Cricetulus griseus: one gene and its partners. The protein of the gene in region 3 interacts with the protein of the main gene of each other region in a biochemical or structural test. Links are inferred from orthologs where the notes say so. Each region holds a gene or a part of one and is shown on either strand. Other genes may lie near its edges. The genes, in order: Hectd1, Ube3c, ubiquitin-conjugating enzyme E2 D3, Mylip, E3 ubiquitin-protein ligase TRIM69, Nhlrc1 and Prpf19.

Region 1 (3,500 bases), on a different chromosome or scaffold from region 3:
CTGAAGGTCTATACTACTTAATCCTTACAAAATAATACTAAGGAAAAAGTATGCACTACATAAAAGGGTTCTGGGATACCTCTAAAGTTCTTTCTCATAATCCATTTATCTCTGGACAACCCAAGACTGCTGATAGTCTTTTTTTGTTTTTCTTTTTTGAGATAGGGTTTCCTCTGTGTAGCCCCTGGCTATCCTGGAACTCACTCTGCCCTGGCTGTCCTGGAACTCACACTGTAGACCAGGCTAGCCTTGAAGGTGTGCAAGTATTTTCTACATCTATTCTGTTACAGTGGGGAAACATTTTTTTGTTGTTAATGGTGCTGAGGGTGGAATCCAAGGCCTAGCACATTCAGGCATCTACCACTAGGCTACATCCAACTGCAGGAACAATTTCGTTAAACGTAAAAGAAAAATACTGAGATTTCAACAAGTAAAAATTTTTGAACTGTTAAATATGACTAAAACTGACAGTTAAAACATTCCTGTGTCACTCAGAAAGTTTAGGTTACTCACTCAAAATACTAAGTTGACATTTCAATTGTGTTCTCAAAGTTTAGAGGCTACTTAATTTTCTTATGGTTAAGTTTACTGGATTTGAATAAGCACAAACACATCTTAGAACCAATTTAAAATCAGGTTGAGCTCTTTTAAAATTTGCAAACTAACGCTAGTAACAATCTTAAATATTTTTAATCTATATTTACTTCTATTTGAAAATTACTAGTTTTTTATTTTAAATTTTTAAAAAAATATTTATATAAAATTCCAAACCAAAAAAATGACTGATTCGGGAGAAAGCTAATAAGAGATTTCAGTCTTACTTTCCTAGGAGCGAACTACATGGGGAACACACATTAACATGTGGAATACATGAACTTGTACAGTGTAAGGTCCAGCACACCTGAGCACTGACACACACACCACACAACCAGCTACACTAATTTCACATTCTGATGAGGCTCAGAGAAGCACTGAACCACCTCTACACAAGCTTAAGATTCATTCCAATCTACATTTGTATGCCAAAATAACTACCTCTTCTGCCTAAGGAAAGGTTCAAAATATCATCCCAATATGAAATAAAGTTGATATTTGTTTTATACTGATACCAATATATACTGAAATGCCCAAATTATAAATAAAAATAACATTATATAATATTAACATGTTTTGCCCAGAAGGCAGTGAATCATATTTTGCCTTGACCACTGATGAAGTTTAACTAAGTACCTTTAGAATTCTGTGGAATAAGTGAGTAAGTGGATAGTTCTACCAACATAGAAACTCTTCAGAAAAGCAATGGCTATAACTGGCTTAATGAGGGAATATACTAAAAAGTATAAACCAAATGGTTTATTAGGTATATACCTAGTTTATACCTAATATACCAAATGGTATATTAGGCTTGAGAAAGCTTCCAAAAGATGAACATATACTATACCTAAATGTAACAACTATTCCTATGTTCAAACACAGATTAAAAAGACAGGATTAGTTTTAAAAAAATTACCTATTGCAGGAATTATATACGAAATATAAAAACTCTCTCTGCCATGTTTAAAGCCAAAACTGAATTGCAACACTTGAAGGATCAGAAACCCATGTCTTTCTGGAGTTCTAAGTTCTGAAATGAAGATTCTAATTTTCTTATGTGTTTATTTTAGCTGAATCCATGTCACTAGCTTCCATCCTCTTAGTAAGCCACACAACACACTTCACTTTATAAGAGAGAATATGAACTCACTAACAAGAATAAGATACCAAAAAATGGTAATGTTTTAAATCTCTTATCTGATTGGTTCTCTTGTTATCTCAACCATTGCTGGCATTATACATTTTATCTCACTGCAAACCTGTTTATGTTTTTAGTTGTTTGCAATTAGGGTTCAATGCTATAGAAATGTGTTTAGAATTGTGGCAATTTTCAAGGAATGGAAAGAAACCTTAAAACAGTAAAATTGACTAATTTATTAAAGTTATTTAAAGTAAATGTTTTTAATCACATTAAAGAAAATACATTATAAAATCAAATGTTAACTATTCTCTTAAGGTCTATCTTCTGAATTTTTATTTTCAGAGAAATGGTCTCTAACCCAGAACACAACCAGGCCTGGATATGTGGGGCTAGGGACCAAACCCAGGGCTTCATGCACACCAGGCAAGCACTCTACCAACTGAACCAAATTCCCAACCCCTTCATTTTTATTCTAGCTCTTTAAATATTTGGAAACAAGAATATAAACATTTTACATTTTTTAATGCTCAGTATAACCAATGGGGATCAAGTTTAATCAAATCATCTGCTACTAAGAAAACCTTTTAAATGTTAAGAAAACTTGGCAGGAAAGCTACTTTGGGAGTCAACAGCAGTTTATTATTTTGGTAAGAACTTTTCAGAATCTACAGCACAGAGGTTAAAATGAATGTACTCTTTTTGTACAGTTAGTGTAAAGTGTAAGAAGGCAGTGTAAACTCCTCCAGAGGCTGGCAAACTGAGCACCCCTGTACTCAAGAAATCAAGAAACTATAGTCCTTATTCTTTGCTTTATTGAACACTAATTTTTTTCTCCTACATGTCTTTAATAAAGTAAAAAAATACTACCTGAAACTACCAAGGAAATCTTGGTACCCTGAGAACAGTAGAAGAAATGTATCTTGAAGATATTTAGTTTGTACTAGTTCAATAATCACTCTACAATATTAGCAAACAGATTCTAGTCAAAATCCAAGATGTTCTCTAAGTAAAGGAGTTATTAATTTTTACAAAGAATCTTAACCATGAAGCTCTGGTTGGCCTGGAACTATTAGGCTGTCCTCAGACTCGGGAGAGATCCACTGCCTCTGCCTTCCGAGTCGTAAGATTAAAGATGTATGCCACGATGGCCAGCTTTATGTTTTCATTTTAATGTGGAATCATTATCTTTATTGGTTCTTCTACAAAGGTCTGATACAGCCACACAACTGACAAATGATCCAAATAGAGAAGACATATTTTTTAGCACATGGCTTTACCACCAGCGGAGCTAGCACCCACTCACCATTGTGCAGCTCGCCAGTGACCGTGCCTTCTCCCTGCGGGCTGCCATCCTGATCTCGCCACTTCCAATCAAGGCCTCTGATAACCCGAGCTCCAGGAACCATGTACTTGAGGACTTGTGAGCGCACAAGGCGCCTCTGCCTTCTAAGATTTGCTTCTGCTTCTTTAGCCGCTTTCCCTACGAGACCAGAATGAGGGAGATAGAAACCAAGTCACTTTTAATAAACAGTTATGGAAACTTGGAAAACTATCTCATGTCCTCTCATTACCTAGCTGGTCTTCACATACTCCATTTACAGTGCCATAGAGTTCAAATCCAGAGAGCGAGAGGTAGTGTGTCTGTCCACTGGCATTCTTCCCCATCTGTTTAATCCTCACATGTCGCCACCCCTGCTTTTCATCCTTTGCTGGGTCAAGTGGCCAAGTTGCAGTTGACCTATAAATATATTAGACAGAAAGTGTT
Region 2 (3,500 bases), on a different chromosome or scaffold from region 3:
CTGGACTCAGTGACTTAAAGATAGGTTATACATACAACAACAGCAAAAACACCACGAAATAATTCATTAAAACACCTGAAAAACAGCCATGCCACTGCACAACACAACAGAAGCAGCAATTTTGATGGAAGATTTTCAATCATTTTTTTTATTTTTGGAAACATTTCATAGAAGGCACAGCTCATGACTATCTTCCTAATGGTTTTAAAAAACAGGAAAAATAAAATTCTCATCAAATGCTTAGTCTGAATTGGATATATACAGTACATCACATCAGTTCACTCAAGTTCACTGCCATCATGAATCTATTTCTTAGAAGGTCAAACTGTATAAATTTCACTATAATTTTCACGAAGTCAGTAGTTTTCTGAGATTTTTAATAAACTAAGTTTTGAGTTTTTTACATTTACTAAGCTCTACAAACAGTAAAAATTCACGAGACCTTAATTTTTGTGGTTTTAATGTACATCAGCTAGAATTAATCTATATACGTTTATACGTCAATAAAACAAGTTATTTACACTCTGTAACAGTTAACTTACTACTTTCAAGAACAGCCAAAAACCAGTTCCTTTTTTTGTTTGTTTTTGTTTGTTTTTTAAGACAGGGTTTCTCGGTCTAATAGCCCGGGTTTGTCCTGGATCTCTTTGTAGACCAGGCTGGCCTCAAACTCACAGAAATCCACCTGCTTCTGCCTCCCAAGTGCTGAGATTAAAGGTGTGAGCGACCACACCGGGCCTCAAACCAGCTCCTTTTATGATTAGCCAAAGAAACTTGTCTTTTACAAAACAAAGAATAATTAAGTACAGACAGTAAAAAGGCTTCTGCATTTTCAGAGGCTATGAGCAATGCAAGACTCAAGAGGCTGCTGTCATTCTCCCAGAAGGCTCACACAGCTTCTGTTGTGAAGATCACAGTGTGTTGTTCATAGTAGTACCTCCCTCAGCAGCACACAGGCCAATTGCCTCCACAATAACGCCACCTCCACAGGTCTGCCCCAGCCACTTACCATTGTGAACCATGTAGTGCAAAATTTGTTCAATCACTGACACCACATAGCTAGAATCTTGTAAAACAGGTAAGTATGTATTCTCAGATGAAAACACCTCAAGCATTCGCATTGGAAGTGCGACATTTAAACTGTCATCACTGCAGTTTTGCAGCAACCTGTAAAAACAAATTCACACACTTACTATAAAGCCAGGACTGTCAGTTTCCCTGACTCTTCCAGTTCCTGTGATGAGCATGTGAGTCACTGCACCACTGCCAGGGTCTCAGAAAACAGGCAGGGCTCAAGCAACAATGTTCAGACTTCCTGGGTCTTTTATTATGTGTCTACAGTAACCCTTTAGCAGATAGACATGAAAAATATACATTCTCAGAAAGAGACAGCAGAGGACAACCAAAGATTGCAAACAGAGAAAGAAAACCATAATCCACTGATTGTTGCAAGAAAAGTTGCATTTTTCAACTGGGTAAGGCTTTCTGGGAAAAGTGGCTCTGCAAAACAGTCACATCAAGTGTGTACAGACCACAGCATGATCTCTTTGGTTCTGAATTATCTTGACTGAAGCCTCCCCTCTTACTAGGAGGCAAAAGGAGTCTTATCTACCACAGTCTGATTTTAAAACAGCCTCCAGCCAGGTGTAGTGGCACAAGCCTTAGCTCTCAGAAAGCAGAGGCAGGCAGAGTTCTTTGAATTCCAGGCCAGTTGAGGCTATATGGAGGGAAACCCAGTCTCAACAAGCCCAAATAAATAAACAAACAGAGTTTAAAAAATAAAAATGGGCTCTATGCCCCTAAAAAATTTTAAATTTAAATTAGAAACAAGCTTGGTTTACATGCCAATCCCAATTCCCTCTCCCTCCCCTCCTCCCCTGCCCCCACCACCCCGTATCCTATCCCCAAGGAGGGATGTCAGATTCCTTGGAACTGTAGTAACAGGTGGTTTTGTGTTAGGAACTGAATGCCAGTCCTCTGCAAAAGCAGTGAGCACTCAACCACTGAGCCATCTCTCCAGCTCCTCCAAGTCTTCCCTTAAAACTGACTTGGTAGAAGCACAATTATACACTGTTCTATGTCTCATACTTGGGATGCACAACCTTGAAAGGGGAGCTGTTCTTAGTCTCCAGTCAATCCTCCTTCCATGTCCCACTCTACCACTTGTCTCTGCAGCTGTGAATAAGACTGTACTTCTTGGGGTTTTTATGCAGAAGAAGCTAAGTTATACAGTGTGCTCAGAGTATTGGTCCTGTTGATTGTCTTTCTGACACTCATCACATAATACACCTGCAAACCTCAATCCTTAACACACTGAACTATAGTCTCCCATGTAAAAATATTACATCTGGGGTTGGGAAAATTGTGTCTCAAAGCGAGGCTGGTAGGAGTGTTTTCTTAAGCTCCAGTGTGTATTATGCCTCATCTCTTTTGGGTATCTTCTACATACAGAACTACTGGATCACAAATGGGTCCAAGTTGCACATGAAGCCACCAGGTTCCCACAGACACTGAGAGAGGGAGTCCAACTGCACCACATCCTAGCACTTGGTAGGAAGAATTAGAATTCAGCAACTCTGAGTCTGTAAGTATGTATCACAACATGGATTTCTATTTCTCTAACTAATACTGATAGCATTTTCAAGTATATGCTGATCCAATTCAGAGGGAGGTTTTGTTTTCAAAGATGGGCTCATATCTGTTGTCTATTTTCTCAATGTTCACCTCTTAACAGTATGTATAAACTGCCTTTTCACCTTTCCAAGGCCACATGTCATGATCCTGAAGCTATATCACATTCTTTTTCTTCATTCGGCAATTCTCCCTTCAAGGCTAACTCCTCAAACGACCAGGCATGATTTTTTCCCCAATGACTACCCTCACTCTGTTCCTCATCTTTCTCTCTGTGGATGCTTCTGCCACTCCACATTCCTCTGCTGCAGGAAAATGAATAACTGAGATAGCTCCAAACAGGCTTCTGAGCATCCTGCCCAGCTCCTACAGGCTGCTGCTTTACTTGGCAGAGGCCTAAGAGCAAAGCCATGGCTCCCACCAAGCACTAAGAAGGCTGTACAAAGATTTCATTAAGGAAGAGGAAGTAGATTTTCTCAGCTACAACACCCAACCAACCTGACACTGAAACACTAAGACCTGACCCATACTCATCTGAGAATCTGGCTTTAAACTCATTGAGACTCAGATGAGAAAGTACTCACTCAGTTTTAATCAGCTGGTTCCTTCTGCTCTTTTCAGCAGCCCTCAAAGAGCCAGTCTTTTATTACTTTTCACACAATCCATCGAATCTTATCCAGGTGGATGGTCTCACACTCTCTCTCTCTAAACTTTTCACTTCAAGTGGCTTCACATGTGTTTTGAAGCCACCTTCATCAGAGTCCCAGGCTTTCTACTGCTTGTTCTGGCTATCCTATAGCCCACACCTGTCAGACTCAGCTATCACTACTCTCCAGTCTTTTCCAACACATTCTAAAAGCACACACCAC
Region 3 (4,118 bases):
AGTCTCAAGAGTTTGAATTTAGGTTAAGTCTTGGAGGCAGAGACCCTTAGAACTCCCTACAACCATATAAAAAAAACAGTTAACGTTAACAGAGAACATTATTTCCTATTATTAGAAAAAGGGATGGTGTCGGAAAGAACCCGAACCAGTTAAAGCAGCCGCCATCTTAAAATGCGGGATAGAAGTTAGAGCAATAAAATGAGACTAAACCACCGGAGGAGGTAGTTCTTCTTACACTAGACCTCCGAAAAATCCTAGCTTCTGCCCAACTGAAACCGACAGCGTAAATTATCAAATTATAGTGGATTGCTGAAACAAGGCTGGAGGGGGGAGGGGGTGTCCTAAGCAAAAGCAGTGGGTCCATCCTGTGTTCCTGCACTGTCAAGCACCCCCCCACCCCGGACGGATCTTCCTAAAGGCATTTACATCAGTTCCCGTGCCTCAGATAAATAGCTTCGGGTGCAAGCTGCGACCACACAACACAGGAAGTGGCAACAGTGTCAGTCCACCTCCTCCCAACCCCACTTGGTCTTGTGTAACTGCCCAGATTGGGTTAAGCTTCTGGACAGACTTCGTCACTACCTTTTAGCAAATCGAGGTTTGTTTATAATACCTTGACCCTCAGTAAAGTTCGGAATAAAATGTTTTCTTTTTCATGTTTCCTTTTCTTCCTAGAAGGCCTATAAGCATAGTACACCTAAAATAAGTTTTGAAGAACCAGGAATAGGAAAGCAGTACTATGCCATCTGCCCGAGGGCTTCTACACAATTCCACTTTCCAAACCGGACTAACTCTTCGTGAGGCACAAAACCGAGGTGCCTGAAAGCCACGCTCTCACCCATTAATTTACAAATTCTTGTGAGAAATTCGGTCTAACATTTCGCTTGCCAAAAGCATTCAGTTCCCCCAACTTAAAGAAACTCATCTCATAAACTACACTCGCACCCCACTTCCACACTTCCCCCTGGGCCCGAGCCTGCCTGCCTGCCTGCCTGCCTGCCTGGCTTCCCAGGGCCCCCCGTCCGGATTAGTCAGTCCCAACAACTTACCTTATTAATCCGTTTCAGCGCCATAGTCTGTGCTTTTCGCCGGGCTCCTCACTATCCCGATGTGTACTCAAAGGCCCGGCCGAAAACTCTTGATTATCCCAGCGGCGAGGATGGATCGTCTCTTCTCCTTCTCCTCCTCCTCCTCCTCCCAGCGGCTCTGCCAGACACAGGCGCCTTTTTTTTGCAAAAACGGAGCAGATCAGCCACTCGCCAGAGGCCGCGGAGAAAACCCTGCCGACTCCGAGATCCCTGCAAACCGCCGCGATCCGGGCAGGGCGGGGTGGGGTAGCGAAGCCACCAACCACTGCTTCTCCCCGCGGCGGCGGCTCGCCCCGCAGAGGGCGAGGGTGACGGGAAGAGGTTACGAGTTTAACTTCCCGGCCTCTCGGAAGGAAGGGCCCCGGGTGGGAGAGGAAGAGGCGGAGGAGAAGGGGGTGGGTGCGGGGCCGGGGCCGGGCAGAGGAGGAGCCGGGGCCTAGTCGGCAGGCAGGCAGGCAGGCAGGCTGGCCGGACCGGCCGGCGCTGGGCCGGCGTCACCGGGGCAAAGAAAGGCAAGGGGGAGGGGAGCGGGAGGCTCCGGAGCGGCGCCGGGCTGCTCTCCGTTTCCGCTCCAAAGGTCGGCGGGCGGGCGGACGGACGGACGGGCGTGCGGGCGGCGGGCTCGCGTGTGCGGCCGTGCCCACGGCTCGGGCTGCTCCGTGTCGCCCCTGACACTGCCTCCCTCCTCTCCGCCTCACAGCGCGCTCCTACGTGCGCGCGCCCAGCCTCCTCCTTCACCACCACGCGCCGCCGGCGGCGGCCGCCAGGCTCCGGCTCCGGCGCGAGGGAGGACGCGCCCCTGTCTCCCCCCCGCGCCCGTCCTCCCGTCCTCCCTCTCGCCCCCCCGCCCGCCCGCCCCGGCCGCGCCGGCCTCCCCCCTTTACCCCACCCCAGCCCGCGGGCTGCCCACTCGGCCGCCCACAGCCCCGGGCGCCGCTCCGCGCCGCGCCGGCCCCCGGCCGCTCGCCCTCCCTCGGGCCGAGCGAGCCGTCCCCACCCACGCGTACAGAGGGGCCGGGGCCTCCCTCGAGCTGCGGCCTCGGCCTCGGCCTCCTCCCCGCGCGGCAGCTGGTGCCTCCCCGGCCCTACGGGGCTCACGCGCACGGCACAGCCACAAGATGTCCGCTCGCTCTGACGGAACTACTGCCAGCTGCCACGCTCCGCCCCTCCCCCCGCCTATTCACCGCCGCGTATCCGTCCGCCAACGCCGCCGCCGCTGCCGCCGTCGCGAGCGCGAGCCGCGGGCCGCGCGCGGGGCGAGCCGAGCCGAGCCGAGGCGAGCGAGGGTTGAGGGCAGCGGTTTGCCTCCCTGCCTCCGGGCCCGAGCCGACGCGCCAGCCACCCGCTTGCCGCCTCCCGGCCGGACCGCACAGCACCTTCTCACTCCACTGCTCGGAGGTCGGGCCGGGAGGGCGGGGGACGGAGGCGGGTCATGGGCCGAGGGGAGGGTAGGCGAGCGGCGGAAACCCTGAGACTCAGAGAAGCATCGAGAACCGGAAGGAGACCTCGGGAGGAAGGGGATGGGAGCGGCAGCTGCGCGGTCGAGGCCCCCGCGCCCCTCCCTACCGCGGCCCCCTGGTTTCCTCACTTGGTATGGCGGAGGCGGCGGATCTCGCGAGAACCTCGTGGCCGGCTCAGCGGAGCTCCGGCTCTGCAATGACTTAAGGGCAGTTTTGTGCTCTCTTCCTGGCTGGGGCCCGCCCCCAAATCCGCAACTTATCGCGAGAGGCGCCGGTAGCACTCTCCACGCCCCCCTCCCCCCCAGGTTCTCACTGGGCGGGCCTTGGGCCGAAAGCACCGCCCCTGAGTGCTTCTGCTGGTGGGCGGGAGAGGAAATGGAATTCCCCAGGCCGGCCGGGCGCGAGGGCGGGCGGGCGAGGGCGGGCGGGCGCGAGCGAGGGGCGGGCGGGCGGGCGTGCGTGCGTGCGGCCGGCGCGCGCTGGCCCCGCCCCCTCGCGGGCGTCCAATGGGGGACGGGCTGTGGGCGGGGCCGCGGGGTGACTCGGTGCCTTAGCGAAGGTGGAGCGGGCTCCGGGCTTCCGGGGGCCCAGGTGATGGAGATCTCTCTTCCCGGGCTCCTCGCAGAGGGCTAAGCGGCGGGAGGAGGCTCCCCTCAGGTTGGGAACGGTAATTTACAACAGATCCAGGCTGAGGGCTGCTCGCACCGCCACGTGGGCCCCGCGTGAGCCGCGCGCGGCCCGAGGGGCGAGCGTTAGCGTAGCCTTAACAATGCGGCTTAATTGTGATCGGGCTGCTTAGAGTCCCGACGTCAGGCAGTCAGGTGGGGAACAGCCAGAGGAAGGAATGCCTGAGGATCTTCTTTCTCCCGGTGCTGCTGCAGTTTTTGAGCCCCAAAGTGGTAAAACATTAGGGAATCAGTCTGGATTACATTCAGGGGTGAGATCTCTCAAGTGTACCACTGCCCTGATTTTGGGCCGCCGTGGTTAAGGTGTAGAGGGCCGTTTGTCATCTAGTGTATTCTTTGGTTAAAAAAAAAGAACTAAGCCTTTAGTTTTCAAAAGGCGTTTAAAGGCAGAAAGGATGGACCTGCTTTAGGGTTTTCTGGCACCCATGAATAACCCCACTTGAAGTGAAATTCTGCAGGACTACATGGAAATAGCTTGAATTTTGAAAACTTGTTCCAGACAGTAGTCCCTAATTAAATGATAAAAATTGATGAAGGATCTAATATATATTCTAAGAATGAGGGTGTGTAATATGTGTGTGTATATATATATACACATATAGCTGCTTATACATTAAAAATGTCACTAGAGCAATCGGTGGGATACAGCTGCTTCAACTGGTGTCCATAGGAATCACCTGTAGTTTAGTTTAAAATGCTGATTTTGATTTATTAGGCCTGACTAGGAGCCCGAGATTATACATTTACAACAAGCTCCCAAGTGATAGGAATAATTTGAGCATTTCTGACTTAGTAAAACCCTGAGCACATGATGCTCTCCTGGCCACCTCTGACACTTCCTCCTCCCTGAAAACAACCCATTGTTCTCTCTTCAGGCTCACCCT
Region 4 (3,500 bases), on a different chromosome or scaffold from region 3:
CCTTTTATTTGGGAACTTACCAACACAAAATAGCCCACACAGATAAATGCCCTTATATGAAGTTCCATAAATAACAAGGATCTCGAAAGTGCCTGACCTTTTAAATGTGCAAATCTCCTACAGTAAAAGTTTAGCATGTTTATTGGTGTTTGCTTCATCCCAGCAAGAAATTACAGCAAGAAGCCTAGCTTAGCCACTCAGTTACCTAGTCCTGTGTAACAGGCTAACCCCAAACTCAGCTTAAAACAACAGACATTTTCTGAGAATGCATGGACAGGGAACCACTATGGCTTGAGGGCATACCAAGCCCCAGAGGTCAGTCTCATCTAAAAGCCCAGCTGAGGGAGGCCTCTGGGTCCAGGTGAATCTTGGAGCTTCTTGGCCAGTCTCCTTCCCTTGCCACTTGACCACAGGGCCCTTTCATGGTATGGTAGCTGGCTCACCCCATGTGAATGATTCAAGAGCAAGAGAGAAGAGTCCCGCCTTCATGACTCTCTCAGAAGTTAGTCATGCCAGGTCTTTCATGGTTTTCTGTTCATTAGCAGCCAGCCGTTAATCCAGACCATACTGAAGGGAAGGCTACATGGGGAGGCCAGATCACCAGGGAGCACAGGAGAAACAGCCTTGCCACAACATAGAATAGAGATCTGTGTTTTCTTCGGTTGCAAAGAATCTAATCAGTCAGTCCCCTGTGCTGCTAGCTTATCAGGAAGTTTGTAAAGTCTGTGTAGATAAATGTATGAGGGGATCTAGCCTACACATTTGTCTTGTGTGTATGCTGAGAGATTTTTCTATAATTCTGTCAGCTTACCAGTGGGTTCTCAGTATTTGTTGAGATCTTTTCAAGAAAATACAGTGTGTGTGTGTGTGTGTGTGTGTGTGTGTGTGTGTGTGTGTGTGTAAGAAAGCTGATGACAGTGAGTTCTTTCCTGCCATCTGTGTGTTCCAGGGATCCAATACAAGTACCTTTACCCATTGAATCATCTCACTGGCCCCATAGGTGAGCTCTCGAACAGTGTCTTAGAAATATTTTATAGTAAGTGAAATAGTAATACGCCATTTGGTGTTTTTGTGATGCATAAATGACCACATCCCTATATTTCACTAGTGAAAATTATAAGCTTTGAGGAATGCATGAGCTGATCTGCCTAAATTTGCACCTTTGAATGTTCTACAGCATTGTTGCAAAGCATAAGGAGCTGGAGGGCATCAGCCAGGCTTCGGCAGAATACCAAGTTCTGCAGATTGTGTCAGCAATGGAGAACTATGGCATAGAGTGGCATGCTGTGAGGGACAGCGAAGGGCAGAAACTGCTCATTGGGGTTGGACCCGAAGGCATCTCAATCTGTAAAGATGACTTCAGTCCTATTAACAGGTAACCCAAGTCTTTCATAACACACACACACACACACACACACACAATCATAAGCATGTATATCATCGGTTGCTTTGTTCTGAAAATAGAAAATGGACAGAAATTCACCAGACACCTCTATCAATAAAGTGATTCATTTTTTAATTTATTCATTAATTGCATTCAAGCCTTGACTAATTATTCCTTAAATGCTAACTTAACGTATACTAATGTGGCAGAATTATTATTTTTCATGCCATAAATACCTGTGTCTGCTTCTGCATACCCACACACACATCAAGGGCACTCCAACACGGTCACCATGCCACACTGCTTGTCCTCTGTCAGCGTAACTAGTTAGAATCATCATAGAACAGCATAGGCTAAGTGTCTGGTTCACTACTGATCATGGCCAGCCTACAAAGGCATATCAACATCATGCTGAACTGTCCCTTCTGAGCTGGCTCACTTTTCTCCTCCTGCCTTTCAGGATAGCTTATCCTGTGGTGCAGATGGCCACCCAGTCAGGAAAGAATGTCTACTTGACCGTGACGAAGGAGTCTGGGAACAGCATCGTGCTCCTGTTTAAAATGATCAGCACCAGGGCAGCCAGTGGGCTCTACCGGGCCATCACCGAAACGCATGCATTCTACAGGCATGTACCACCATGTGTCTCCTGAGCTTCGGTCACAGCTTAGTGTGTTTAGGTGTCTGGCAGGTTGCTGGGATTTCTCCTATCCCTGAGTCCATGAGCTTTTACAGACTATGAGGGAATAGCTACTCTGAGCCTTCCTTTTGCAGTGCTAGTGGCGCCCTTATGGGCACAGAATGGTGTATACCTGTGCCTCATTTACACTCTCCTGTTTATCGCTCATTTCCTTCCACACCCACCTCCCAGCATAACCCCAGTGGTTGGCCCTGTTCTGCTATGACTATGTCTTTTCCCAGAACAGTGGCACAGGTCTTTCTCTGCTGAGAAAGTCCCTGTCCTCAGCCCTCGCACATTACATACTCCGGATACTTTTTAAGTTTCATTTTACTTGGTGTTTTTGGAGACAAAAATCTCACTGCATGACCAAAGGTAATTTGAAATTCATTATACACCTCAGGGTGGCCTCAAACTCAACTGCAGTCCTGTAGTCTCAGCTTCCTGACTGCTAGGACTTCTGGCATGCACCACTACACCTGGCCATGACGAAGATTTTTAAACAACATTCTAGAGGGCACTTTCAGGCTGAGTTGTGAACAGGTTCACACTTAGAAAAAAATTAAAGAGAAAAATGTAGTTTGCAGGAAGCCTTTAAATTTTGTTATGTTAAAGGCCGGGCGTTGGTGGCGCACTCCTTTAATCCCAGCACTCGGGAGGCAGAGGCAGGCGGATCTCTGTGAGTTCGAGACCAGCCTGGTCTCCAGAGCAAGTGCCAGGATAGGCTCCAAAGCTAGAAGATAGAGCACTAAATGTCTATTGGCATACTGTTTTTATTAATAACGGTATCTGACAGTCTGAGTTAGGCTTTTCAATACTAAATCAGATGTTCACTCTCATCTTCAGGTGTGACACGGTCACCAGTGCCGTCATGATGCAGTACAGTCGTGACTTGAAGGGCCACTTGGCATCTCTGTTTCTCAATGAAAACATTAACCTTGGTAAGAAGTATGTCTTTGATATTAAAAGAACATCCAAGGAGGTATATGACCATGCCAGGAGGGCTCTGTACAACGCCGGTGTTGTGGACCTTGTCTCACGAAATGACCAGAGCCCTCCCAGCTCGCCCCTGAAGTCCTCTGACGGCAGCATGAGCTGCGGCAGCTGTGAGGGCCTCAGCTGCCAGCAGACCAGAGTGCTGCAGGAGAAGCTTCGCAAGCTGAAGGAAGCCATGCTGTGCATGGTGTGCTGTGAGGAGGAGATCAACTCTACCTTCTGCCCCTGTGGCCACACCGTGTGCTGTGAGAGCTGTGCTGCCCAGCTTCAGGTAAGGGGTCACAGCCCTCCCGTCTGTTAAGAAGGCTCCAACAGGTGCACGATACACAGAGTGGAAAGCAGCCTTCTGCACCTGGGAAGGGTCTTTATGTGCAGCGACTTCACCCATTGTGCCCTTTAGAAACCTGTGGGTCAGCACGCTCTTGTCACCACTTGGTTTCAGAA
Region 5 (3,977 bases), on a different chromosome or scaffold from region 3:
ACTCCATCCCCAGTGCCGGGTTACAGTTGTGTGCCACCATGCCTCACTTTTTACATAGGTGCAAGGGATTCAAACTCAGGTCCTTGTGTTTGTTCAGCAAGCACTTTATCCACTAAACCATCTCCCTGGCCCCCATCTATCTGTATCTTGCTCACAGAGATATTTACCTGTTTATTAAAACTAATCTGTTTATACACTGGGTATATATAATTATACTTCATTGAAGTTGTTTTCTTTCAGTGTTAGTCACCTGAAAATGTGACTGGGATATATTTATGATTTTAACTAAACCTAGTTAAAATCAATAACAAACAATAATAACATCTATAGGAATTTTGAGAAAGCTATCTAAACTTTTATTTCTATACACATCTTATCTAGAATATTATTTCTTTTTCTTTAAATACCACTTGTGTTATTTTGTCCTGTTCAGTCCTTTGATATTTATAAGAACACAAAAACATGCTTATTAGACTATCGACTGAAATTAGATAAGCTTTTCTTCTGAAGAATTGGTCTTTGTCGAAGCACTGTTGATCTCTAACACTCTCAGGATATTGTGCTCTATGCTATGACTGTCAAGCACTAAAAGACCTATAAAGACTAAATATATACAAGGAGTATGTATGGAAAATGCCTTCAGAGCAGAGACACTCCAGAGAATCATACAACTGATGCAGCAAAACAGGATAATATTGTGGCCATTTCTACACATGCTAGAGCAAACAAAAGCATGGGCTGAAGAGTGATTCTAATACTAGATTATCATGCATTGTTAGTTCAAAGACACATATTCTTAGATCATAGCAGCTGGAGAAAAAGAAAAAGTCTTTTTGACTAACTCCACCAAAGGGCTAGAGAGATGGCTCAGCAGTTAAGAACACTGGCTGCTCTTCCAGATGTCCTGAGTTCAATTCCCAGCAACCACGTGGTAGCTCACAACCATCTACAATGAGATTTGATGCCCTCTCTGCCATGCAGGAGTACATGCAGACAGAGCACTCATGTACATAAAATACAGAAATAAATCTTAAAACTCCACCCAAGTCCATTTTCATCCAGTCTTAAGCTAAAGAACTAACGGGACACAGCAGAGGCCCCACAGATGAAATGTAGATTAGGGGCCATAGGAATGAGTAGCTACTTCCCACTATACCTGGACAGAGAATGGACTGCATTTCCTTCCAGATCATATACTGGATGGGACCTTTGAAGCGGCCTGGGCTCAGCTTTTTGGAGATAAGCTGTCTGGGTGAGAGTGCCCTCATTCCTTTCTCCATGCTGTAAGGGACACAAATAGTTTATTTTTTAGACATCCTCCAGGGGCAGAAGGAAGGGGATAGAGTACCATGGAAAAGCACTTACCTATCTAAGAGCGTTGTGATGTCCTAAAGAGAAAAGGAGAAATAGAGCTGTCAGGTGTCTGTTTATCATCTCTAGAGATCTGTCTGGTTATTCTGATCACCATCCAGGTTTACTCATCAATCCTGGCTTTCTGTGCATGTGATCCTCAGTCCATCTCCAACAACAATTTTCATCCTCCACAGGCTTTCTCTAATGAGCACCCAATCTAACCCATGATAGCTGTCCTCTCATTTGCTAACCTACTGATTTCTATGATTCCAGCTCTTTAAGATATAGGAGAGGAGCCAGTAAATCGATAGTCAAGGTCAACTTTTCTTTTTTAAGTGAGCACTTCTAAATACTCCCACAAGAAAAGATTAGAAGCAGTTCCAGTGCCAAGGGTGACCAAACTTGTGAGTACTAAAGTGATCACCAGTGTTGTTTTAGAGGTGAGACTTCAGGTAGCAAAGTTTGACAGAAAGATTTTTAAATAGTTCTCTTTATGATTTCTGTAAGCCCCAAACTCAACAACGGCTATCAGATACATACTTTTTGAAAACTAACTGTAACTCCAGCTACAAGGTTCTTTATGGGAAAATAAAAATATTGATTCATATAACATTATTGATGAAATTGTACTAATCGTGTTTCATAGGAAGATGAAACACAGTTTTCTACTGAACATAGAACAAAAGCAGCTTCTCACAGAGGATCTTAAAGCACTGCAGTGGGTTGGGTTGTGGTGGGGTGGGGTGGGGTGGGGTGGGGTGGATTGGGTGGGGTTGAACTTGGTTAGGGTTTGCTTCCTTTCCCTCTACAAGTCCAGGCCCTCTTCCCTCCTTCACGTGTACCCATAATCAAATCGGTGTGGAATCTCACTTTGAGGAAGTTGAAGGAATTCTGTTCCATCCGTGCCTGAATGTTCATCAGCATGTCTTTGGCAAGAAGACACTGTTCCTGAAGCTGATTCAGATTCAGCTCCATCTCCTCATTCAAGACTTTCCCCTCATCCCGGAGTTCATTTAGAATGTCCTTTTCTTTGTTGTGCAGGAACTGATGCAGCTTTAGAAACTCCAAGGAAAGGTATTGTTGCATTTGTATCTTGTTGTCCTGGAAACCTCCATAATCATCACCACAATTACTACTGAGACTAGCACTTAGAAACAGGGGCTCGCATCCCACAACACACCTTGGAAATTTCCAAACAAATGGCTGCTTAGCATCAACATTCAATCCTACTAAACAGAGCTTATTCCTTCTTTCCTGGCTAGTTTAATGGTGTAAAAGGAAAGGTTTTGTTTTCAGTTTTTTCTCAGTGCTTGGATAATAAACAGTGCTCTATTAAATAATGTTTCAGAGTCGATCCAACATTCTAAAACAATTTTATTATTATTATTTGGTTTTTATTTTTTTGAGACAGGGTTTCTTTGTGTAGCCTTAGCTGTCCTGAAACTCACTCTGTATATCAGGCAGGCCTTGAACTCAGAGATCTGCCTGCCTGTGCCTCTGGAATGCTGGGATTAAAGGCACCTGACTAAACATTCTAAAATTAATACTAACAATAACCTTCCTAGATTGGCAAAACAGCATCTACCAAGTGATGTTGTTAAACTAGGGCCATAAGGAGCCTGGAGGAACTGTACTTTCAAAACCAGAGCTGCTCTTGCTGCCAGTACAACATAAAAGAAACAGGATATGAACAATGTGTAAAGTGCTAAATTGATAATTGTGATACTTGCAGCTTGTACATGTGAGGTGTGTGTGTGTGTGTGTGTGTGTGTGTGTGTGTGTGTCTACAGTTTCCTCCCTGGTGAACTCTATATATCCTGGCTTATCAGTTCCTTATTGTCTTCATTTATAATGGCTTACAGCTTTCTCCAATTATTCCCAATCACACATAGAATTATATCATTCCCAGAGAATGTATCATCTTCAAAATAACTGTTTTGCTCCAAGTTCACTTGCTCCTTACTGTAGCACTGTTGAATCTCAATGAAAGTTTGTATTCAACCTGGGCGTGGTGGTGCATGGCTCTAATCCCAGCTCTTGGTGGAGGGGGCAGGGGGCAAAAGCAGGCAGACCTCTATGAGTTTGAAGCTAGCCTGGTCTACATAGTGAGTTCCAGGACAGTGGCGCTACATGGAGAGACCCTGTCTCAAGAAAACAACAAAGTGAGTTTGTAATCATTGACCCCCTCTGTTTCTATTAATCAACTTCTACCTTCATGGCCTGTCTTATGTAACTTAGATTCCATGGATAATCATTATCATGCTCTTAACATAGTCTTAACTGTTCTTCTAACCAATGTGTTTCCAGTTTCCCTTTCACCTTTCTCAGGATTTCCCAGTATAATTGCTTCCACTACCTCTAACCACATTTATTTTAAATATTAAAATTAGTTAGTATTCTGTCCTAAGCTCATTCTATACTTTCTAGGCAGTATCTCCCTGGCCCCCTGCAGCTTTAAATTCCATCTAAATGCTGATAGCTTTTCTCCAGCTTTTGGGCTCCAGACTCCTCAACCCAAACCTGATACTACAAATCACTCCTCTTATCTAATAAATCACTACATCTATATAGTTTCCTCCCTATACCATTTGCCCTTGTTATCTCTGCATACGCTGCTCTTTAGT
Region 6 (3,991 bases), on a different chromosome or scaffold from region 3:
ACTTTTTGAGGTGGTCTTCAGTGGATACAGCTCTCTTAAAACTCTTTGGAGGGCTATGATGTAACTCAGTTGGCAGAGGGCTTGCTTAGCATGTAGGAAGCCCTGGGTTCCCTCTACCTCCAGCACCACAGAACCCTGGGCGTTTCAGTGCCTGTAAGCTGGCACTTGGGAGATGGATACAGGAGGATCAGAAGTTGAAGGTCATCCTTGGCTACAGAACAAGTCCAAGGCCGACCTAAGATATACAAGACCTTGTCTCAAAAACAAACAGCCTCTTTGTATAAAAGAATACCATTTTGCTGACAAAGCATCCGTTGTTATCTGCAGCAAACTGTCACTTTCCGAGAGCATCCCCCAGAAAACATTTCCCTGCTGCTGTAGAGGTTTACGTTATTTTGCTATAATTTCAACAGCCCCGAACAACGAAGACTTTTACACTTGCTTAGAAATAAATAAATAAAACATACAGAGGATCCACACTTCACCCCAAATTTCCTCCTATTCCTTTCCTTAATTGCAGCATTAAGGAGCCCTTATGTGGGCCAAGGTTATGCTTCAGTGCAAGACATGTTTACAGAGCTCTAAAATGACAAGGGAACTAACTGTTTATTGACTAGACAGTGTTTGACTCCCATTTCAAAGTGCACAGAGAAAACTTTCATCACAAAGCACATTAGGCGGCACAGATTACCACACAGTAAACAAATTCATTCCTGCCACGAATATGTCGGGGCGACATCTCCTAACAGAAGTCTCATCTGTCCATGCCACTAGCAGACAGTGGCTCTACAGGTTTTGCTCAGACCATCACTCAGGGATGTCCCCCTGTGCCTGTGGAGGAGGAAACGCTGACACCAATTTACAAAACAAAACAAGCAAACAAAAAACATTGTCATGTAGCACAAGCTTCAAACTAGGTAGCTGTAGATAGGATCGAACTCCAGACCTTCCAGAGTGCTGAGATTATTGGCATACACTACCAACCAAGCAACCTTTGCCTTATAAGGAAAGAGCTCAACTGTGTTTCTTGGTATTGGTAACGATCCATCTACTCTGCCATTGGGGAGGGCTCCCAGATGACACCCACACAGAATCCTTTTTCTCCTGAGAACTCCATGGAGACCCCTTTCTTCGTGCACACAACCAGTTATTGAGTTACTTGTAGGGAGAGCATATCTAAGACATGCTCACTTTTTTTTAAAAAAAAAAAACATCTGGCATCATATTTAAGAGCAAGGGATTTGGAGTCAGAATTGAGTTTAATTGTGACTGTCCCAGTAAATATGCCTCGAAAAAATATCATATTAAATTCTCTGGATCTGCTTTCTCGTCTCTAAAATGGGACTAATAATAGAAATCACATCGCTGTGTGTTAAGGGGCAAATGAACTAAGATCTGCAAATTCCTTAACATTGGGACTAGGCATCCACTAAATGACAAGTCTAATGAGTAGTCCTTTATAACTGCCTCACACCCAACACTTCTGTCAAGCAGTTACCATTATTCCTGCCTGGGCGAATGAGTGATGGTGACTCATCCAGGGTGCAATTCACTCCTGATGACACCAGGCCTCAGATCCCATCACCCTCCGTTACCCTCCATCACTTTAAAGATTTTTATAGTGTGGGATGCAGTGTCCAGCACAAGAAGAGAATTCTCCTTGGTGAAGACCAGGGCCACAGGACGAGAAAGACCATGAGTGACCATGGGCTTCAGGGCTGGAAACTCCTCGGGTTTCCCCAAGCAAATGATGGCTGGCCCAGAGGTGTCTGCTACAATCACATTTCCCTGGTGATCGAAGGCTACAGCTGAGATAGTTATTTTAGAAGGAAAGAGGAGGTTCAGCCCGAAGCTATCCACCTGGCCAATCAGCTGCATGGTGGAGTTGAACACCTTCACCCTTGTGTTGTCACCTGCTGTCCCCAAGGGCCAGGGGTGTTCTAGGATCGCGATGGCCCCGGTGAGCCAAGACACAGCCACCCCACGGGGATTGCAAAGCTGAGCTTGCAACCTCTCGATCCTCCGAAGGACCCCTTCGGGGAAATCTACTTCCAGCAGGTGCAAGGTCCCTGCCTCTGCGTCGGTCACCAGGGCCAGATTCTGAGGGGTGATCTCCACACCCCAAGGCAGGGAAAACTGTTTTCCCACAACCAGCTTGATTTGGCCGAAGAAATCAAACACTTTGAGGGAGCGGTCGCCAGCGTCGGTGACAACCACGTGGCAGTCGTTGGTGACGGCGACATCCAGTGGGTACTTCACGTCATGCGCTGCGTCTCCCTTCTCTCCAAACTGGTGTGCACCTCCTCCTCCGGAGTCAAAGATCTTGACCCGCCTCTTACCGTCGTGCACGACCACCACCCGTCCGGTCTTGGGGCACAGTGCAAGCCCCGTGGGGTTCACCAGGGTCCCCCACCCGCCGAAGGCGTGCTGACAGGTGAGCACCCCGGGCGCGCAGGCGGCAGCGCTGAGGGCAGCCTGGGACGCGTGAAGAGTGGAGCCCAGGAGCTCCAGAAGGTGCAACACCGGCAGGCAGTCGCTGGTGTCACAGGCTCGGCAGGCCCGCCGGCAGAAGGGACATTCGAGGGCCAGCGATCGCGGGTGCGCGAGGGCGGCCACGCAGGCCAAGCAGACCACGTGGCCACAGGGCAGGTTGCGCGGGCGCCGCTGCTGCCGGTGGCCGAACCTCTCGAAGCACACCTTGCACTCCAGCAGGCTGACCTCCGCCTCGCGCACCAGCTCGGGCCGCACCCCCGCCGCTTCCTCCCCCATCGCTCCTGCAGCGCCGCGCCGCAGCCCTCGCGCAGCCCTCGGGCACGGTCACGGTCACGGGGCGGGGCATCCGCTCTGACGCGGGGCTCAGCGCCTGGCCCGCGTAGCGCTGCTGCTCCCTGGCGGGCACACGCCGCAGTCGTTCGCATGCGCCGTGCGCAGACCTGGAATCATCACGACACGTCACTCCCTGTGAGCCTGTAAGTGGCAGGGCGAGCACCAGAACCTACGCTCCCAATGCTGATACCCAGCAGAGCTGCCAATCAGCTACGCTGGGTGCTGGTTGCCAGGGCTGGGCAGGAATAAGACAGGCCCCTAGTATGGGTCGACTAAGGAGAGTGATGCATGAAGGAAGATAACTTCAAGTGGGTGAGTCAGGTGTGCAAACTTCTTTGGTGTGTTTTATCACACTTGTGAGAAGGTAGACAACTAACACTCGCAGCGCCTCTGGGTATGGTAGCTGAAATCTCAGCACTGTGGAGGCAGAAACTAGTGGTTAGAGGCCAGCCTAGGCTACATACAGTGTCTCAATCCTCCCATAACCCCGCCAAAAAACCCAAAACAAACAAACAAACAAACAAAAACCCAAAACAAACAAAAGAATACAAGTGAAATGGGTTTGTTTGGAAGGAATATTTAAAAGCTGTTAGTTGCCTCGGATGGTGGTCTATATAGTGAGTTCCAGGCCAGACAGAGCTTTGTAGTGAGAACCTGTCTCAAGCAAACAAACAAGCAACAACAACAACAAAACTGTTAGTTAATAGCTGTATTCTTTGAAGTGGTTTCATGCATTGTTTTATTCAAGCCTCGTGGGCAATGGGAGTGGCTTGGATGAAGAACAGGCTTGGCAATGATTGGAAGCCAGGCAGTTTGACTACAGGACCTCTCACTATCTGGCACTGATCATCAAATATATGGTTCTATATGACAAATGGTTGAGTCTCCTTGCCAAAGGCCTAATGGTCCCGGGTGAGGGCTGGGTTGCAGAGAGCTGTGAAGGGGATTGTGAGTGTATAGGTAAGTTTAGGCCAGTGATTCCTTCAGTGTCTTCCAGACTCAGGTAAGATGGAAAGTAAAGGGACTGAAGAGATGGCTCTGTGGTAAAGAAAACTTGCTGCTCTTCTAGAGGACATGAGTTCAGTTCCCAGCACCCACATTGGGTGGTTCACAGCCACCTGTAACTCCAGCTCCAGGAATTCCAGTGTCCCCTTCTGGTCTCCAT
Region 7 (3,500 bases), on a different chromosome or scaffold from region 3:
TAAATGCTTTCTTTTATTAAGAGTTGCTGTGATCATGGTGTCTCTTCATAGCAAAAGAGCACTAAGACACAAATAGTCCTCTATTTCTCAGTTCCTTAAGTCTAAGAGAAAGACTTAACTGGGAGGCACTGTTTCAGCACCCCATGCAGCTGCATACCAAGCCACAGTACTCAACTCTTATGAGACCATTAATCTCCTCTAATAGCTACCTTTATCCTCTTTTCTATTTGAACTCACACCACTTTCAACAGCCAACATTTAATTTTGAACCCAACCACACAGGGTGTCATGGGAACAGACACCTAGCAGTCAGGACTATATAGAGCTTTACTGTCTGTAGTTTATCTATAAACGCTCTAGGATGTTTGTTTTCTTTTCCTAATGCAAAATTGATGTGAATGTGCTTTGTTGGTTGCATTTTCCTTCTCCTTTGGTTTGAGGGCCACAGCTTTGGGGTTCTACACAGAGACCCATCAATGCCCAGTTCAGTTCATCAAAAAGGTAGAGATTGGGTGATTGGTTCTGAAACTCAAAACTACTGGAACAGGACTTAGGAAAGGACAAGGGTGGCTGTGAAAGTACCTTACCTGAGAAGGATGAAACACCACGCTGGTGACCTTCTTGGTATGGCCTTTAAGAGTGGCCAGGATTTGCTCAGTACTCTTATCAAAGACAACAACGTTTTTATCTGCCCCACCTATAAAATATCCAAAAAAAGACAAAAAAATGAATCAGGCCTATAAGGATCCCAGTGCTAAAGAAGGTCTTTCTGTCCTCAAATCCATGCAGAGAACCAGGGGCTTGCACCTTCCCTTGCTCCTGCCATCTCCCACCTTGACCTATCAGGCCAGGCTCAGACTCACCAGTGAGAATCTTGTTGGTGTCCGAAGGACAGAGGTCCAGAGCAAGGATCCCAGGAATGCTAGCACTGTGTAGCCCCTATGCAGACAGAACCACACAAAATCCAGTCACAGCCAAATCAAGGCAGACCAGAGAGCCACACAGCTCCTCCACTCCCTATACCCTTTGGTATTCCTCCTCAGGCAAGGAACAAGAGTGAATTTTATCCCTTATCCATCCAGCTTGGCTGGCTGCCTGGATGCAGCAACTCCCTCACTGCATGGCAAGAAACCATGTCAGAGGCCTGAGCAGCATTTGCCCCTGCTCCTCATGCTGGCCCATCTTGCCCTAGAAATAGAGTCACCTCCAGCTACTTACCACATGGGATGCCACCTGCCGGTACTTGCTGAGCTCTTCGGGTTTCACCAGCTCCTCAGGCACAGTCTTTCCTCTCTGAGAAAACAGAAAAGACCCCAAAGAGCAGCAATTGAATATAGGTTTCAACTAGCCCCTCCTCCAAAAAGCCAAATGCTCACACCAGGGGTCAACTCACCTTCTTACGCTCCGTGGTTAGAACAGTGGCCTTGTCTTGAAGCTGTGGAGAACAATTTTCTGAGAAATGATTTTGCAAGGACAAAGCACGCTGGGTGCTGGTACATCTGGTATCATAAGCATCACCAAAAACATGCTATTTGCCAGGTTATGTGCTAAAGCTGACACATTTCCACTCTGGTCTTATAAGGTGAGGTATCCATGACCTTATGGTACAACTGAAAAAACTGAACATCAAAAGACTCACCTCCCCCCACCCAAGGTTACTAAAGTGACAAATGGTAGAACTAGTAGGGACAGAGCTAGGCTGTTGTGTTCTGGGACCAGGTCTAAGGTACAAAAATTAGAACTCAGACACTGTTGGACCCCACAAATGCAGACTGTACATTCAACAGAACCCTGCGATGCAGTCTGGAAGCCTGCCTTGCCCCTTCTCAGCTATGACTTACAGTCACAGACTCCTCATCTTAAGATAACTTCTATCTTGTAAGCAAAACCTGTCACAAAGTGGTTTAATATCAGCAAAGACCACAAAAACAGCAAGAGCTATAAGCTGCCCTTATCAGTAATTAAGTCTTCCCTACAACAAGCCTGTGAAGTGCATACCTCACTCTATTTAGAAACAAGGGAGCCGGGCGGTGGTGACGCCTTTAATCCCAGCACTTGGGAGGCAGAGGCAGGCGATTTCTGTGAGTTTGAGACCAGCCTGGTCTACAAGAGCTAGTTCCAGGACAGTCTACAAAGCCACAGAGAAACCCTATCTCAAAAAAACAAAAACAAACAACAACAAAAAAAAGAAGCAAGGAAAATGAGACAGAGAAAGGCAGGCTAAAGTCAGCCTAGTCAGAAAACTCAAGAGTGGCAGGGCAGGCTTTCCACTGCTCAGGGTGAGATTCTTACTCTAGCCCCAAGACCCATGGCACTGAGTTAGGAGGACATGTGGCATTCCCAGCAAAAGAGCATATGACTCACCTTCTGGATAATCTCAGGGGTCATTCCCACCAGCTCACCCAAATCCATGGGCTCTCCTGCACCCTGGAGAAAAGAAAGGGAGAATGGGAGGAACTCACAATACCAAAGGCACCTGTGTAAGGACAGCTATTGGGGCTTGGAATGGAACACTTACCACAACACTGGGCTGTGAGCTTGGCACGGCCTGAGGTACAATAAGACCAGCCTGTGGTTTCAGAGTAGCCAGAGCTGAGAGAAAAGATGATGTTAGAAATGGGACATTACAAAGCAGAGCCAGCAAAGGGTAGGGAACAGCAGGGAAGAGGAGACACCTTCTCGAGCAGCAGTGACTTCCTTCGTGAGACGGGCAATGACTCGGCAGGCAGCATCGTGTTGGTACAGAGCATGGGACAGCTCCTGGCGGGTTGTCTGCAGTTGCTGGCGAAGGGTGAAGCTGTGCAGCATGACTGCATCCTGGGAGGGGGTAGGCCACTGTGAGGACTGGGGGAGAGCTGGAGAACTCGGCCAGCCCTGGAGAAGAGGACACCACCTCCTATTCTACACTGAAGCCAACCTGAACTACTCAGAGACCCAAGCTAACATATGAGTGACCCTGAATGCCCTGTAAGGCATTCAGGCTCCTACTCCACACCACACCCTGGACACATAGACAGAAGCAAGATCTGGCTCCTTCCAACCCCCAGCTTTGCTTTACTTCAGCAGTAAAGCACATATGTTAATGCCATCACTTCTCTGAAAGGAAATAATGCTGCTGTGGTTATTTACTAGCTACCCTCAGCAAGTGCAGTGCTCAGTAATGAAAGAGAGTCCCTGACGTCACAAGGCAAATTTGTCAATTTTATTCTACTTCTTACAGAGTACAGACAGACAGGACTAATCAATGTCCTATAGTCAGGAAGGTCAAGCCTCAGAGACTGAGCAGTGTGCCCCAAGTCACAAAGGCTGACAGTGGAGAAAACTTTGGAATCCAGGTCTGCAAGACTTCCAACAAGCAGGCTCCTCTTGTGCTGCCATCCTGCTCCTCACAAATGAAATATGGCTGGCAAGAAATGAGGGGGCTGCTCAGTGGTACAGCATTTACATTAGCCCTGTGTTCATCCCCCCAAAGAGTCAGGCCTGGTGGGCACTTGTAATCC

What was found.
Region 1: the proteins of ubiquitin-conjugating enzyme E2 D3 (region 3) and Hectd1 form a complex in vitro, tested with the Homo sapiens proteins (2 studies listed by BioGRID). The link is inferred for Cricetulus griseus from reciprocal best matches to the Homo sapiens genes UBE2D3 and HECTD1.
Region 2: the proteins of ubiquitin-conjugating enzyme E2 D3 (region 3) and Ube3c form a complex in vitro, tested with the Homo sapiens proteins (2 studies listed by BioGRID). The link is inferred for Cricetulus griseus from reciprocal best matches to the Homo sapiens genes UBE2D3 and UBE3C.
Region 4: the proteins of ubiquitin-conjugating enzyme E2 D3 (region 3) and Mylip form a complex in vitro, tested with the Homo sapiens proteins (2 studies listed by BioGRID). The link is inferred for Cricetulus griseus from reciprocal best matches to the Homo sapiens genes UBE2D3 and MYLIP.
Region 5: the proteins of ubiquitin-conjugating enzyme E2 D3 (region 3) and E3 ubiquitin-protein ligase TRIM69 form a complex in vitro, tested with the Homo sapiens proteins (2 studies listed by BioGRID). The link is inferred for Cricetulus griseus from reciprocal best matches to the Homo sapiens genes UBE2D3 and TRIM69.
Region 6: the proteins of ubiquitin-conjugating enzyme E2 D3 (region 3) and Nhlrc1 form a complex in vitro, tested with the Homo sapiens proteins (2 studies listed by BioGRID). The link is inferred for Cricetulus griseus from reciprocal best matches to the Homo sapiens genes UBE2D3 and NHLRC1.
Region 7: the proteins of ubiquitin-conjugating enzyme E2 D3 (region 3) and Prpf19 form a complex in vitro, tested with the Homo sapiens proteins (2 studies listed by BioGRID). The link is inferred for Cricetulus griseus from reciprocal best matches to the Homo sapiens genes UBE2D3 and PRPF19.

Annotation. Positions count from the first base shown.
Region 1 is NC_048598.1:150,519,516-150,523,015, reverse strand, and holds part of Hectd1 (E3 ubiquitin-protein ligase HECTD1), read right to left. Parts: intron 3,474-3,500; coding exon 3,307-3,473; intron 3,216-3,306; coding exon 3,039-3,215; intron 1-3,038. UniProt on the Homo sapiens protein: E3 ubiquitin-protein ligase which accepts ubiquitin from an E2 ubiquitin-conjugating enzyme in the form of a thioester and then directly transfers the ubiquitin to targeted substrates.
Region 2 is NC_048601.1:93,184,146-93,187,645, forward strand, and holds part of Ube3c (ubiquitin-protein ligase E3C), read right to left. Parts: intron 1,168-3,500; coding exon 1,010-1,167; intron 1-1,009. UniProt on the Homo sapiens protein: E3 ubiquitin-protein ligase that specifically catalyzes 'Lys-29'- and 'Lys-48'-linked polyubiquitin chains.
Region 3 is NW_023276806.1:24,045,351-24,049,468, forward strand, and holds the start of ubiquitin-conjugating enzyme E2 D3, read right to left. Parts: upstream 2,801-4,118; 5' UTR 2,677-2,800; intron 2,594-2,676; exon of another isoform or gene 2,465-2,593; intron 2,235-2,464; exon of another isoform or gene 2,096-2,234; intron 1,224-2,095; 5' UTR 1,074-1,223; coding exon 1,050-1,073; intron 1-1,049. UniProt on the Homo sapiens protein: Accepts ubiquitin from the E1 complex and catalyzes its covalent attachment to other proteins. In vitro catalyzes 'Lys-11'-, as well as 'Lys-48'-linked polyubiquitination.
Region 4 is NC_048596.1:265,123,190-265,126,689, forward strand, and holds part of Mylip (E3 ubiquitin-protein ligase MYLIP), read left to right. Parts: intron 1-1,177; coding exon 1,178-1,375; intron 1,376-1,844; coding exon 1,845-2,009; intron 2,010-2,906; coding exon 2,907-3,327; intron 3,328-3,500. UniProt on the Homo sapiens protein: E3 ubiquitin-protein ligase that mediates ubiquitination and subsequent proteasomal degradation of myosin regulatory light chain (MRLC), LDLR, VLDLR and LRP8. Activity depends on E2 enzymes of the UBE2D family.
Region 5 is NC_048599.1:56,257,241-56,261,217, forward strand, and holds the start of E3 ubiquitin-protein ligase TRIM69, read right to left. Parts: upstream 2,801-3,977; 5' UTR 2,440-2,800; coding exon 2,224-2,439; intron 1,389-2,223; coding exon 1,366-1,388; intron 1,282-1,365; coding exon 1,157-1,281; intron 1-1,156.
Region 6 is NC_048596.1:266,724,138-266,728,128, forward strand, and holds Nhlrc1 (E3 ubiquitin-protein ligase NHLRC1), read right to left. Parts: upstream 2,770-3,991; coding exon 1,582-2,769; 3' UTR 501-1,581; downstream 1-500. UniProt on the Homo sapiens protein: E3 ubiquitin-protein ligase. Together with the phosphatase EPM2A/laforin, appears to be involved in the clearance of toxic polyglucosan and protein aggregates via multiple pathways.
Region 7 is NC_048596.1:49,553,014-49,556,513, forward strand, and holds part of Prpf19 (pre-mRNA-processing factor 19), read right to left. Parts: intron 2,875-3,500; coding exon 2,676-2,874; intron 2,593-2,675; coding exon 2,519-2,592; intron 2,428-2,518; coding exon 2,365-2,427; intron 1,436-2,364; coding exon 1,394-1,435; intron 1,294-1,393; coding exon 1,219-1,293; intron 940-1,218; coding exon 864-939; intron 698-863; coding exon 588-697; intron 1-587. UniProt on the Homo sapiens protein: Ubiquitin-protein ligase which is a core component of several complexes mainly involved pre-mRNA splicing and DNA repair. Required for pre-mRNA splicing as component of the spliceosome.